Linked DNA regions of Macaca mulatta. The protein of the gene in region 1 binds, or shares a complex with, the protein of each later gene. Links are inferred from orthologs where the notes say so. Each region holds a gene or a part of one and is shown on either strand. Other genes may lie near its edges.

Region 1 (5,630 bases):
TGGGCCCTCAGGGCTCCCACTGTGTCCCTGCCGGCTCAGGGGCTCCTTGAGGAGGCGGATGGGGATGGGGGAGCACCCTGGAGGGCTTCCTGGAGGAGGCGGCAGTGCCAGAGCTGCAGATCAAGGTGTGAACAGAAACATCCTAAGGGCCACCAGGCAGGGGGCACGGTCTGGGCAGAGGCCTGAGGGCGAGAGGCCAGGGAATGGGGAGGAGGGCAGGCAGGGGAGGGGTGTGGGTGCAGGGGAGGGGTGATGGGGTTGGAGCGCTATTTCTCCTAGGATGGGTAGGCAGGGGAGGAGTCCCCTGGTGGAAGCATGAGGAATAAACTGGGGGGTGGCCAGAGGGGCGGTCCGAGGCAGGGAAGAGGTGGGACTCACAGTCCAGCTCAGACGGACAAGTGGCCACGAGAAGGAGGCATTAACCACGGAGAGGGGACGACCTGCTTCAGGACACACATAGCTCCTTGCTGTCCTTTGTCTTTTTTTTCCTTTTTTTTTTTTTGAGACAGTCTTGCTCTGTCGCGCAGGCTGGAGTGCAGTGGCCTGATCTCGGCTCATTGCAACCTCCACCTCCCGGGTTCAAGCGATTCTCCTGCCTCAGCCTCCTGAGTAGCTGGGATTACAGGCATGCGCCACCAGACCTGGCTTATTTTTATATTTTTAGTAGAGACGGGGTTTCACCATGTTGGCCAGGCTGGTCTCGAACTCCCGACCTCAGGTGATCCACCCGCCTCGGCCTCCCAAACTGCTGGGATTACAGGCGTGAGACACTGCAGCCGGCCTACTTAATTATTTTTGAGACAGGGTCTCACTCTGTCACCTAGGCTGGAGTGCAGTGGTGCAGTCTTGGCTCACTGCAGCCTCAACCACCTGGGCTCGAGTGATCCTCCCACCTTAGCCTCCCAAGTAGCTGGGACCACAGGTGCCACCACACCCAGCTATTTTCTTATTTTTTTGTAGAGACGGAGTCTGGCTGTGTTGCCCAAGTGGGTCCTCAGTGACTCTTTACATATGAACACCTCCAGGTTGCTGTAATCTTAGCACGCTCCTGGCCTCCCGGAAGACCCCACGTCCCCCTTGGAGTCTATACCCGCTGTGACCATAACAACCCTACCTTCCCTGCCACAGTTAATGGTTAACAAGCTCTCAAAGGCAACATTTTCTTTTTTCTTTTTTCTTTTTTTGAGACGGAGTTTCGCTCTTGTCGCCCAGGTTGGAGTGCAGTGGTGCGATCTCGGCTCACTGCAACCTCCGACTCCCGGGTTCAAGTGATTCTCCTGCCTCAGTCTCCCGAGTCGCTGGGATTACAGGCATGCGCCATCAGGCCTGGCTAATTTTGTATTTTCAGTAGAGACGGGGTTTCTCCATGTTGGTCAGGCTGGTCTCGAACTCCCGACCTCAGGTGATCCACCCGCCTCAGCCTCCCAAACTGCTGGGATTACAGGTGTGAGCCACCGCGCCCGACCAGACAACACTTTCTTAGCTAAGAACTTTACGAACGTTAATTTATTTCACCCTCGTGATAGGTTTATGTGATGGATCCTATGATTATAATTTTACAGAGGAGGAAACTGAGTCGTGGAGTTTATTTCAGGGGCCTGAAGCTACACAGTGGCCAAAAGGCCACACCAGAACCAGGATATGAACCCAGCGTCAGCACACTTAACAATAACTGCACATGCGAATGTGGTATACAGCTGGTGCTCAATAAATGCAGCTGACGCCAAGTCTGATCTCCCTGCTTGAGGCCAAGCGCCCCCCCCCCAAGATATGGCCGCCCCCATCCCCGACTTGAAACAGGGCTGTGTATACAGCAGGTGCTTACTAAGTGCACCACGGTGATGTTAAGGCAGCAAGGTGGGAATCCTGCCAAAAGGGGAGGGGAGGAGGCAGGGTAGTGTGTGTCTGATTACGCTGAGGACAGGACAGACGTGGATGGAGTGCCTGCTGTGTGCCAGGCTCTGGGAGGGCAGGACCATTGTCCCTCTAACCTGAGAGCTATGGGAGTCCACTTGTCCTTGGTCACGTCAGGACTCCAGCCCGGCCCAGGCTCTGTGTGTCCCCGGGTGCCCTCGCCCCGCCTGTTCCTGGAGTCAGGCCCGTTGGTTCCCTTCCCCTCCCCTTGTCCCGGAGCCAGGAGGACGTTGGTTCTTGCAACAGCCTTGGCCCAGCCGTTGCAGCTGGAACATCGTGGGGGGGATGGGAAGAGGAACGGGACCCGGAGCCTGGGGCTGGGTCCTGGGAATCCCATCCCCGTGGCTGGGGCTCCAGCTCCCCTGCCAGTTCCTCCAGGCAGAAGCCCTCAGGCTTGGGTGAACATCCTCATTCCAGCCTCCCGGCCTGGGCAGGAATTCTCTCTCCAGCACCCCTGCCTGCCGGTCCCCTGCCTCAGGCGGGGAGGGCTTCGGGGAAGCTCACCAAGGCAGAAGGGCGGGAGAGACCGTCAGAGCCTCAGTTGCTGTCCAGGGACTGACCGTGAGCCTGGGTGAGAGTGAGTTCCCCGTTGTGGGTGACTGCCAAGGACGGGATGGAAGGCCCGGCCCTGAGAGTGAGCCCTGAGGTTCAGGGAGCAAGGCTGGAGTGAGCCAGCTCCAGATCTCCGTCCAGCTGTGGGTCCCAGAGACCTGGGTTAAACTTGCAGCTCCTGGGGAGGCCCTTGACATGCCTCAGTTTCCTCATCCCAAACAGGAACCCTGAGAAGGATCAGGGAGGTGCCTGTTGCACCGTGAGTGCCCGAAACAGCTGCATGTGGCTGGTATCACAGGGCCCTGGGTAAACCGAGGCAGGCGACACAGCTGCATGTGGCCGGTATCACAGGGCCCTGGGTAAACTGAGGCAGGCGACACAGCTGCATGTGGCCGGTATCACAGGGCCCTGGGTAAACTGAGGCAGGTGAGGCCACCCGCATTAAGCCCCACAGGTCTAGGTTTGGCAGGTTTGGCAAAAACACAGCAATGCTCAGTAAAACCTGGGCATTTCGGGTAAGTATATCCTTATACTTAAATTAAGACTTAAGTATTTAAGTCTTAATTTATTAAAGACTTACCGGGACAGACTTAAATTAAAAAAAAAAAAACCTCCGAGACCAGCCCGGCCAACACAGAGAAACCCGGTCTGTACTAAAAACACAAAAATCAGCCGCGTGTGGTGATTTCACCTGTAATCTCAGGTGGCTGAGGCAGGAGAATCACTTGAACCTGGGAGGCAGAGGTTGCAGTGGGCCAAGATTGTGCCACCGTACTCCAGCCTGGGCGACAAATCAAGACTCTGTCTCCAAAAAACTAAATAAAAGACCCACGTCGATTATTTGACATTCAAACGCGATTGTGCATCCTGAATTTTGTCTGGCGGCCCCACCGGAGCCAACCCCGGCCTCTTGCCCCCTTTCTCCCCCTTTTCATCAACGCCCTGTGCCAGGAGAGAGGAAGTGGGGGGCGCCGGCCAGCTGTGGGGCAATGTAACGGCCTCCTGGCACAGGGCTATAAGAGGAGCCGGGTGGGCACGGAGGGGCAGAGACCCCAGAGACCAGCCTCACCATGACCCTTGGCTGCCAACTCTCCTGCCTTTTCCTCGCTGGTGTCCTGCCGGCCTTGCTGCTGGAGGGTGAGTCCTTGTGTCCATCCTTCCGCTGCTCCCTCTGTCCCTGGGGTTCTGTTCCCACTTCTTCATGGTGGGCCCCACCAGTGTGGGTCCCTCATCCTCACTGGGGAGGTGCCATCTGGGACAAGGGGACCAGGAGAAGAGACTGAGGTTCTGAGTGGTGAAGCCACCACCAGGATCCCAGAGTTGGGGTTTGCAAACCGAGGCGGGGGGGTGGGGGGGAGGCTCGCAGGGCGCCCTCTGGGTTCGAGTCCAGGTCTGGCTGTGCCTTGGAGGGGCACCGTGGGGAGGTCCCTTTGCCTCTCCGTGCCTCAGTTTCCCTCATCTGAACAACAGGGGTGTGAATGGTCCTGATCCCGTGGGCTCCTGGTGGGGGATCCCGTGGGTTCCTGCCGGTGGGTCCCGCGGGTTCCTGGTGGGGTATCCAGGGGCCCCGTGGCCGGGAAGGCACGGGCTCCTTGTCAGGCACTCAGCACCCACACCCGGTGTGTCCCCAGGCCCCGCGCTGGCCTCGGAGATTGTGGGCGGTCGGCAAGCGCAGCCCCACGCGTGGCCCTTCATGGCGTCCCTGCAGCGGCGTGGAGGGCACTTCTGCGGCGCCACCCTGATTGCGCCCAACTTCGTCATGTCGGCCGCGCACTGCGTGGCGAACGTGTGAGTAGCCATGAGGGTGTGCGCCCGGCTCGGACCCGCGTCCCGGTCTGAGAACGGTCGGGGGAGGCCAGGGCCCCGGGGCGGCTCCGGCACCTTCCCCCGCAGGCCTCTCGGGTGGGGACCCCCTGACCCCCAGGGCGCCCCTCGCCACCGCCTCTCCTCCCAGCAGAAACTTCCGCTCCGTGCGCGTGGTCCTGGGAGCCCATAACCTGCAGCAGCAGGAGCGCACCCGGCAGGTGTTCGCCGTGCAGCGCGTCTTCGAAAACGGCTACGACCCCATCAACTTCCTCAACGACATCGTGGTTCTCCAGGTGCCGCGGGGCGCGGGGGGAAGGGACACCCGGGGCGGGGGGCGCAGGGGCAGAGGCCAGAGGCCTGGGGAGGGTGGAGGTGGCGACGCAGGGGCGCGTCGGGGCCGCTTGTGGGGACCTGGGGTGGAACCGTGGGCTGGGCGAGCCCCTCTCTGTGCTTCAGTCTTCACCTCTGGGAAACGGGAAAATACCCGCTATGGGCTGTTGACGGATGAAATGAGATTGTGCAGGCAAGCCCGGATTTGCTGTCAATCAACAAACTTCCGGTGATTCTTTGTGTCGCTCCCTTCACCAGCCCTGTGGCCGAGGGCAGGGGCCGCCTCTGTCTTTGGGAAATGGGGCCCGTGTATCCGGCTTACAGTTCTGATTCAATCCCTGGGGACCCGGCGCGGTGGCTCACGCCTGTCATCCCAGCACTTTGGGAGGCCGAGGCGGGTGGATCACAAGGTCAGGTGTTCAAGACCAGCCTGACCAACATGGTGAAACCCTGTCTCTACCAAAATACAAAAAAATGTAGCTGGGCATGGTGGCAGGCGCCTGTAATCCCAGCTGCTCGGGAGGCTGAGGCAGGAGAATGGCTTGAACTCGGAAGGCGGAGGTTGCAGTGAGCTGAGATCGTGCCATTGCACTCCAGGCTGGGTCTCAGGAAAAAAAAAAAAAAGTTACTCCCTGGGAAGGGTGAGGAGAGTTTCATGACATGTCACTCAATTTTCTCATAATTGTCACCCAGTTCAGTGACATGATCGAGACTCACTACAGCCTCCACCTCCTGGGCTCAAGCCATCCTCTCACCTTGGCCTTGGGGGTAGCTGGAACCACAGGTGCCACCAACATGTCCACCACGTCCACCACGGCTGGCTGATACACATATATATATATACACACATTTTTTTGGGGGGGGGATGGAGTCTCGCTCTGTTGCCCAGGCTGGAGTGCAGCAGTACAATCTTAGCTCACTGCAGCTTCCACCTCCTGGGTTCAAGCGATTCTCCTGCCTCAGCCTCCCAGGTAGCTGAGATTACAGGCGTGCACCACCACGCCGGGCTAATTTTTGGTATTTTTAGT
Region 2 (5,408 bases), on another chromosome or scaffold:
AGCCCCTTTTCATTCTTTAAGAAACAAATATTTAGAAAACTCCAGACAATTTCTTGAGTGTGGCACTGAGGAAAATAGGAACAAACAGAGAGAGAGAGAACAGAAACTATGTGAGAGAAATAAAATTGTCCCCTGGGTAGTGCAGGTGAGAACAAAAATCTTGACTTGAGAGTGTCATTACCCACTGGCGGAAATCATATCCTCCATTTCTCTCTTACCTGCCCTACTAAATACCAACTAGGACTGAATGTACCTGGTTCATAGTAGTTACCTCATGCATATTAATTTTCGTCCTTTTCTTTTTCCACCAAAATTTGATTGATGATTGATTGATTATGTCCAAGTCTTCTGATCCACCAAAATTTAAACCATGGAGTGACTTTCATATAAACAGATCTGCTGCCAGTTGACTGTCTGGTTGTGGAATACTTAAATACTTCATGTGGGGCTGTCACTACTTGATAATGAGTGAGTCTTTCATGTCTGTGAAAAGTTCCACAAACATTCACTTTAGGAATGAATGGGAGAATTCTAAGCATGAAGATAGTGAGTCAAGAGCTTAGAGTTTGCAGCCAGATGAGCTTTGGTTGAATTTTATTTTATTTTATTTTATTTTTTTAAGACAGAGTATAGCTCTGTTCCCTAAGCTGGAATGCAGTGGCATAATCATGGTTCACTGCAGCCTCAAACTCCTGGGCTAAAGCCATACTCCTGGCTCAGCCTCCCAAGTAGCTGGGACTGCAGGCATACATCATCATGCCTGGCTAATTTTTAAAATTTTTTTGTAGAGATAGGGTCTCAATATCTGGCCAGGGCTGGTCTCAAACTCCTAGTCTCAAGGAATCCACACACCTCAGCCTCATGAGCAGCTGAGACTGTATGTATGTGACCCTACACTCAGCTATGGGCTGAATTTTAGAGATAATGATGACTCTCTTTATAATTAGAAGCAATCTATGCAGATTGGGTAGCATATAGAACGAGTTTAATTTTTTGCTGTCATGTGAGATCTGTAAGGGTTTTTGGGGAATTTTAGGAAGCAGTCCTCTAAGATCTCAAATTATCTCATAGCTAAATGTTGATTACAGTGACTGATGAGCTGCTTTCCCCCTTTATCTCAGATTCATTTCAGTTCTCTTTAGTGGGAAGGGATACAATTCATTTATTCTTTTCAGAGTCCCTTCATGCCCTTAATTTCATAACCCTCTGAGAAGGGCTGACTTGTTAGTATCATTTCATTTCACAGCTGAGAAAACTGAGCTCTGAAGAGATTTGCTGAGAGCAGAGCTCTTCTTCAGCTTTCATTTGTTGAGTGAATGCTTTTCCTGTGACAGGCACTGGGGATAAACGGTGTAAATATTTCAGGGAACTAAGTATCGGTTGGTTGAATGAGCTGAACTTTTGAGAAAGAAACTGCATTGAGCATTCAGCAGAGTTTCACAATGCCTTAGAGTCTAATAATGTGAAAATCAGAATTCGTAATGTGAGAATAGGATGTAATGCACGAAGTCTCAGCTGGGGGTCTGCATCTGGTTTCAGTTCCAGGTCCAGGTAGCACCTTTGCAATTGACCACTTCTTCCCCTCTCCACCTGTAAGGCTAATGGCCTGGGGTCTCGTGATGTTTAGGGCTCAGATGGACACTGAGATGGCCTCTTTAATCAGCCAACCTCTCAGGCCAACCTCTTCCCTTTCTTTTCTGGTAATTACTGTATTGGCCTCAAAGCCTCACCTGGCATAGGAAAGATAAACCGTCTCCTTGGTGCCAGGATTTCTGGTCTCTGGCTAAGCTTCCTGCTTATGCAATAGTAGCTGGGAGAGGCCAAAAGAATTCTGGTTGGGCCACACCCACTGGTGAAAGAATAAATAGTGAGGTTTGGCATTGGCCATCAGAGTCACTCCTGCCTTCACCATGAAGTCCAGTGGCCTCTTCCCCTTCATGATGCTTCTTGCCCTGGGAACCCTGGCACTTTGGGCTGTGGAAGGCTCTGGAAAGTGTAAGTTGGGAGTCATTCTGGTCTAATCTGGGCTGCAGGGTCAGAGGTGCGGTCTCCTGGTGATGTGGGTGTGTCCCCTTCTGTAGGCTCTGATCTCTCAGCTTAGTTTCAGGAGACCTCCCTGAGAGTGGAATACATGTCTGGCTGAGCTCCAAGGTTTCTGTGAGGGTTTCTGAGCTTCTGGAAATGCTTTTTCTATGCAGCCATGCTGTCGGCCCAGATCCCACTCTCTCTCTCTCTCTGTCTCTCTCTCTCTTATCCTCTGCCTTCTTCACCTGTCTGCGACTCTCAAATCATTAGTTTCTGACTCTGCTTCTTCTTTGTGTCTTCGCTTCTGCTATTTTGTCTCTGTGTTTCTGCCTTGGGCTTTAGCTCTCAACTTCTCTCACACTGGTTCTATTTATCTTTGTTTATCTGTCTCCATCTCCATCACTCCCAGCCTTCCTCTCTGCCTTTGTGTAGCCCTGTTTTGCTCTGGGGTGGGAGGTCTTGACTAGAAGCCTGCTGCCCTTTTCTTGGGTCTGAAACATCCCCTGTCCATTTGTCCAATTTAATCAAGCCCATCAATCCACCCGGAGATCAGGCAGGCATGACCCTTTGGGCTTTGTGGATAGCTCCTGAGGTAAGGGTCTCTCCCCCTCAAAAGTGGTGCTTTGTTCAGCAGGCATGATGACTTCTCAGTGCCCAGCCTACTCCTGACCTCTTGACTTTCTCTTCAAAAGCCTTCAAAGCCGGAGTCTGTCCTCCTAAGAAATCTGCCCAGTGCCTTAGATATGAGAAACCTCAGTGCCAGAGTGACTGGCAGTGTCTAGGGAAGAAGAGATGTTGTCCTGACATTTGTGGCATCAAATGCCTGGATCCTGTTGACACCCCAAGCCCAAGTAAGCAGATCGGGGAACTGGGTAGAGAGGAGTGAGCCTGAGGACACAGCATTAGGGGGATGGCACTGGGTGATGGGTCCTGCCAGGCCTCCTTGTCAATCAGTCAATGAGTCACATGCCCTAAGGAGGAAGGTAGCCAGCAGGTGGTGAAGCAGCGGGCATTTAGATAGTCAGGTAGTTGGAAGCCTCCCACCTAGTCAGCACTGGACGACTGGCCCCCTGCATCAACGGGGGCCTGATGTTCTAGGACAGCCAGGTGCTATGTTTGGGGGGTGACTTACGGAGAAAGTGGTGGTGATAGAGATCGGGGGGGATGATCCGACCTGCTCAGGTTGCAGCAGGGGCTCACTCTAAAAAGTGGAGATAGGAGGGGTTGTGTAAAGTACAAGGCCTCTGACTGGTAGCCTCACTCTCACCCAGCGAGGAGGAAGCCTGGGCGTTGTCCACCAGCTTATGGCCAATGTATGATGCTTAAACCCCCCAATTACTGTGAGATGGATGGCCAGTGCGAGCGTGACTTGAAGTGCTGCATGGGCATGTGTGGGAAATCCTGCGTTTCCCCTGTGAAAGGTAAGCAGGGGCCGAGGGCACACTGAGCTCCCTCCATCTCAGCCTCAACCCTCTGGAGGCCCAGGCATATGGGCAGGGGGACTCTTGACCCCTATTCCAAGCAGAGCCTCTGTCTGACTCCCTTGTCCTTCAAGAGAACTGTTCTCTAGGTCTCAGGGCCAGGATTTCCATAGGATCACCTGTGGCTTTGATTCTATTCTAGTGTCTCTGGGTGGGGGTCCTGGGCAAGTGACTTTCTGAGTCTCAGTTTCTTTATCGGTAAAATGGACATAATGAGATTGAAAGTGCTCTGCAAAGCACTATGTGCACTAAGAATTTATTATTCAGGTTGTTTCCGTCATGTTTTCTGAGGTTAAATCCCAAACGATCCGTGGAGTTTGAGGATTATCTAATTCAATGCTTTCAATTTAGAGTTTTACGGTGAAAATGAGACTTGTCTCCTGACACTAAGTCTCTCTCAACTATAGCACTATCTTGCTATTTTCTTTATCTCAGGAGGATCCTTGGGCAGAAGGAAGGATGTGAATATGATTTGGCTGATTTCTATGCTGAAGCTCTTATCTGATTTTCTCTCACAGCTTGATTCCTGTGATTTGGAGGAGGCTCTGGAGTCCTGCTCTGTGTGGTCCAGGTCCTTTCCACCCCCAGACTTGGCTCCACCACCGATATCCTCCTTTGGGGAAAGGCTTGGCACACAGCAGGATTTCAGGAAGTGCCAGTTGATCAATGAATAAATAAATGAGCCTATTTCTCTTTGTACCCTGCTTCTGTGATTCATTGGGGTTATGAGTGGGGTGGGAGGCTATGAGGGAAGATCTAGCTATGAGGCCTTCCTCCTATGGATATATAGTGGGAGGAAGAGGCTTAGGGACTGGGGGGACTTGAATTTATATCATGAGTCTATAAGTACTGGCTCTGTGATTTTGGACAAGTGATTTTTATCTCCTAAATTTCAATTCTTTTGTCTGTGAAGTGGCAATAAAAGTCAACTTCTCACAGCATTTGGAACATTGGAGGAAGCATTGTGTGTGTAATAAATAGCAATGTTACTAGGCCACAGCAAGTTCTCAAAAAATAGGGGCTACTTGTGGCCTACTGGAGTGATTTTGAGTCTCTTTAATTTCCTCTCTCTCCCACGACACTATTTCTTCTATTTTATGATGAGAACGTTACCATAATGGGTAGCATTTATGGCACACTATTGGCCATACCATGCAAGGGTGGTGGTGTCCTTGACTCCACGGAGCAGGAGTAACAGGAACTGGGACTGCTAAGAGCTAAGGAGCAGGCAAAGGGCCTTGCTCCACATTGCTCTGCTCTGCGGACTCCAGAGGAAAGAGACAACTTGATTAGATAAGGTTTTAAAAAATATTGTAATTCAATCCTTTCCTGGAAAAAGTCAGCAAACTAAAAATTCTTCCTTACTACTTTCAAACAATGCTCTAAGAGCAGCAAGGGAATATATTAAATTAACAATTCAATGAAGAGGAAAAAGAGGGAGAACCATTTTATTTATTTGATGAGTGTGGCAGTCACCCTTCACGTTGGCCCCCAGTGATCTCACCTGTTGGTATTCACACCTTTGTGTAGCCCCCTCCTGCATTTTTCCACAGTTAGTTTGTGTGACTAATAAAACATTACAAAAGTGAGAGATAGTTATGTCCTCACGAAATTAGATGATAAATGTTTGCAGCTTCCATTGTGGAGGCATTCTCTCTCTCCTCAATCACTTACTCTGAGGGCATTCTTTTGGCAGGTCATGAGGAAACTCAGGCCATCTGTGCAGTGGCCCACAGGGTGAGGATCCAACACCTCTGACCAAGAGCCCATGAGGAACGGAGGCCCATCCATAAACACATGAGTGAGCGTGGAGTGGGTTTTTCAGTCTTGCTCTAGTCTTTTATTTTTTCTGATAGAATCTCACTCTGTCGCCCAGGCTGGAGTGCAGTGGCATGATCACGG

What was found.
Region 2: the proteins of ELANE (region 1) and SLPI are in contact, whole or in part, in a crystal structure (PDB 2Z7F), measured with the Homo sapiens proteins. The link is inferred for Macaca mulatta from reciprocal best matches to the Homo sapiens genes ELANE and SLPI. Residues at the interface, in NP_001963.1 of Homo sapiens: His53, Phe54, Cys55, His70, Cys71, Asn74, Val75, Pro111, Val112, Asn113, Leu114, Leu158, Ile165, Leu180, Arg182, Val197, Cys198, Phe199, Gly200, Asp201, Ser202, Ala216, Ser217, Phe218, Val219, Arg220, Gly221; in NP_003055.1 of Homo sapiens: Tyr93, Gly94, Gln95, Cys96, Leu97, Met98, Leu99, Pro102, Phe104, Met121, Cys122.

What each region holds. Positions count from the first base shown.
Region 1 is NC_133424.1:1,505,878-1,511,507, forward strand, and holds the start of ELANE (neutrophil elastase), read left to right. Parts: upstream 1-2,170; 5' UTR 2,171-2,485; exon of another isoform or gene 2,486-2,871; intron 2,872-3,169; 5' UTR 3,170-3,536; coding exon 3,537-3,603; intron 3,604-4,097; coding exon 4,098-4,254; intron 4,255-4,420; coding exon 4,421-4,565; intron 4,566-5,630. UniProt on the Homo sapiens protein: Serine protease that modifies the functions of natural killer cells, monocytes and granulocytes. Inhibits C5a-dependent neutrophil enzyme release and chemotaxis. Promotes cleavage of GSDMB, thereby inhibiting pyroptosis. Promotes blood coagulation.
Region 2 is NC_133415.1:98,091,437-98,096,844, reverse strand, and holds SLPI (antileukoproteinase precursor), read left to right. Parts: upstream 1-1,888; 5' UTR 1,889-1,910; coding exon 1,911-1,995; intron 1,996-2,717; coding exon 2,718-2,876; intron 2,877-3,296; coding exon 3,297-3,446; intron 3,447-4,024; coding exon 4,025-4,029; 3' UTR 4,030-4,206; downstream 4,207-5,408.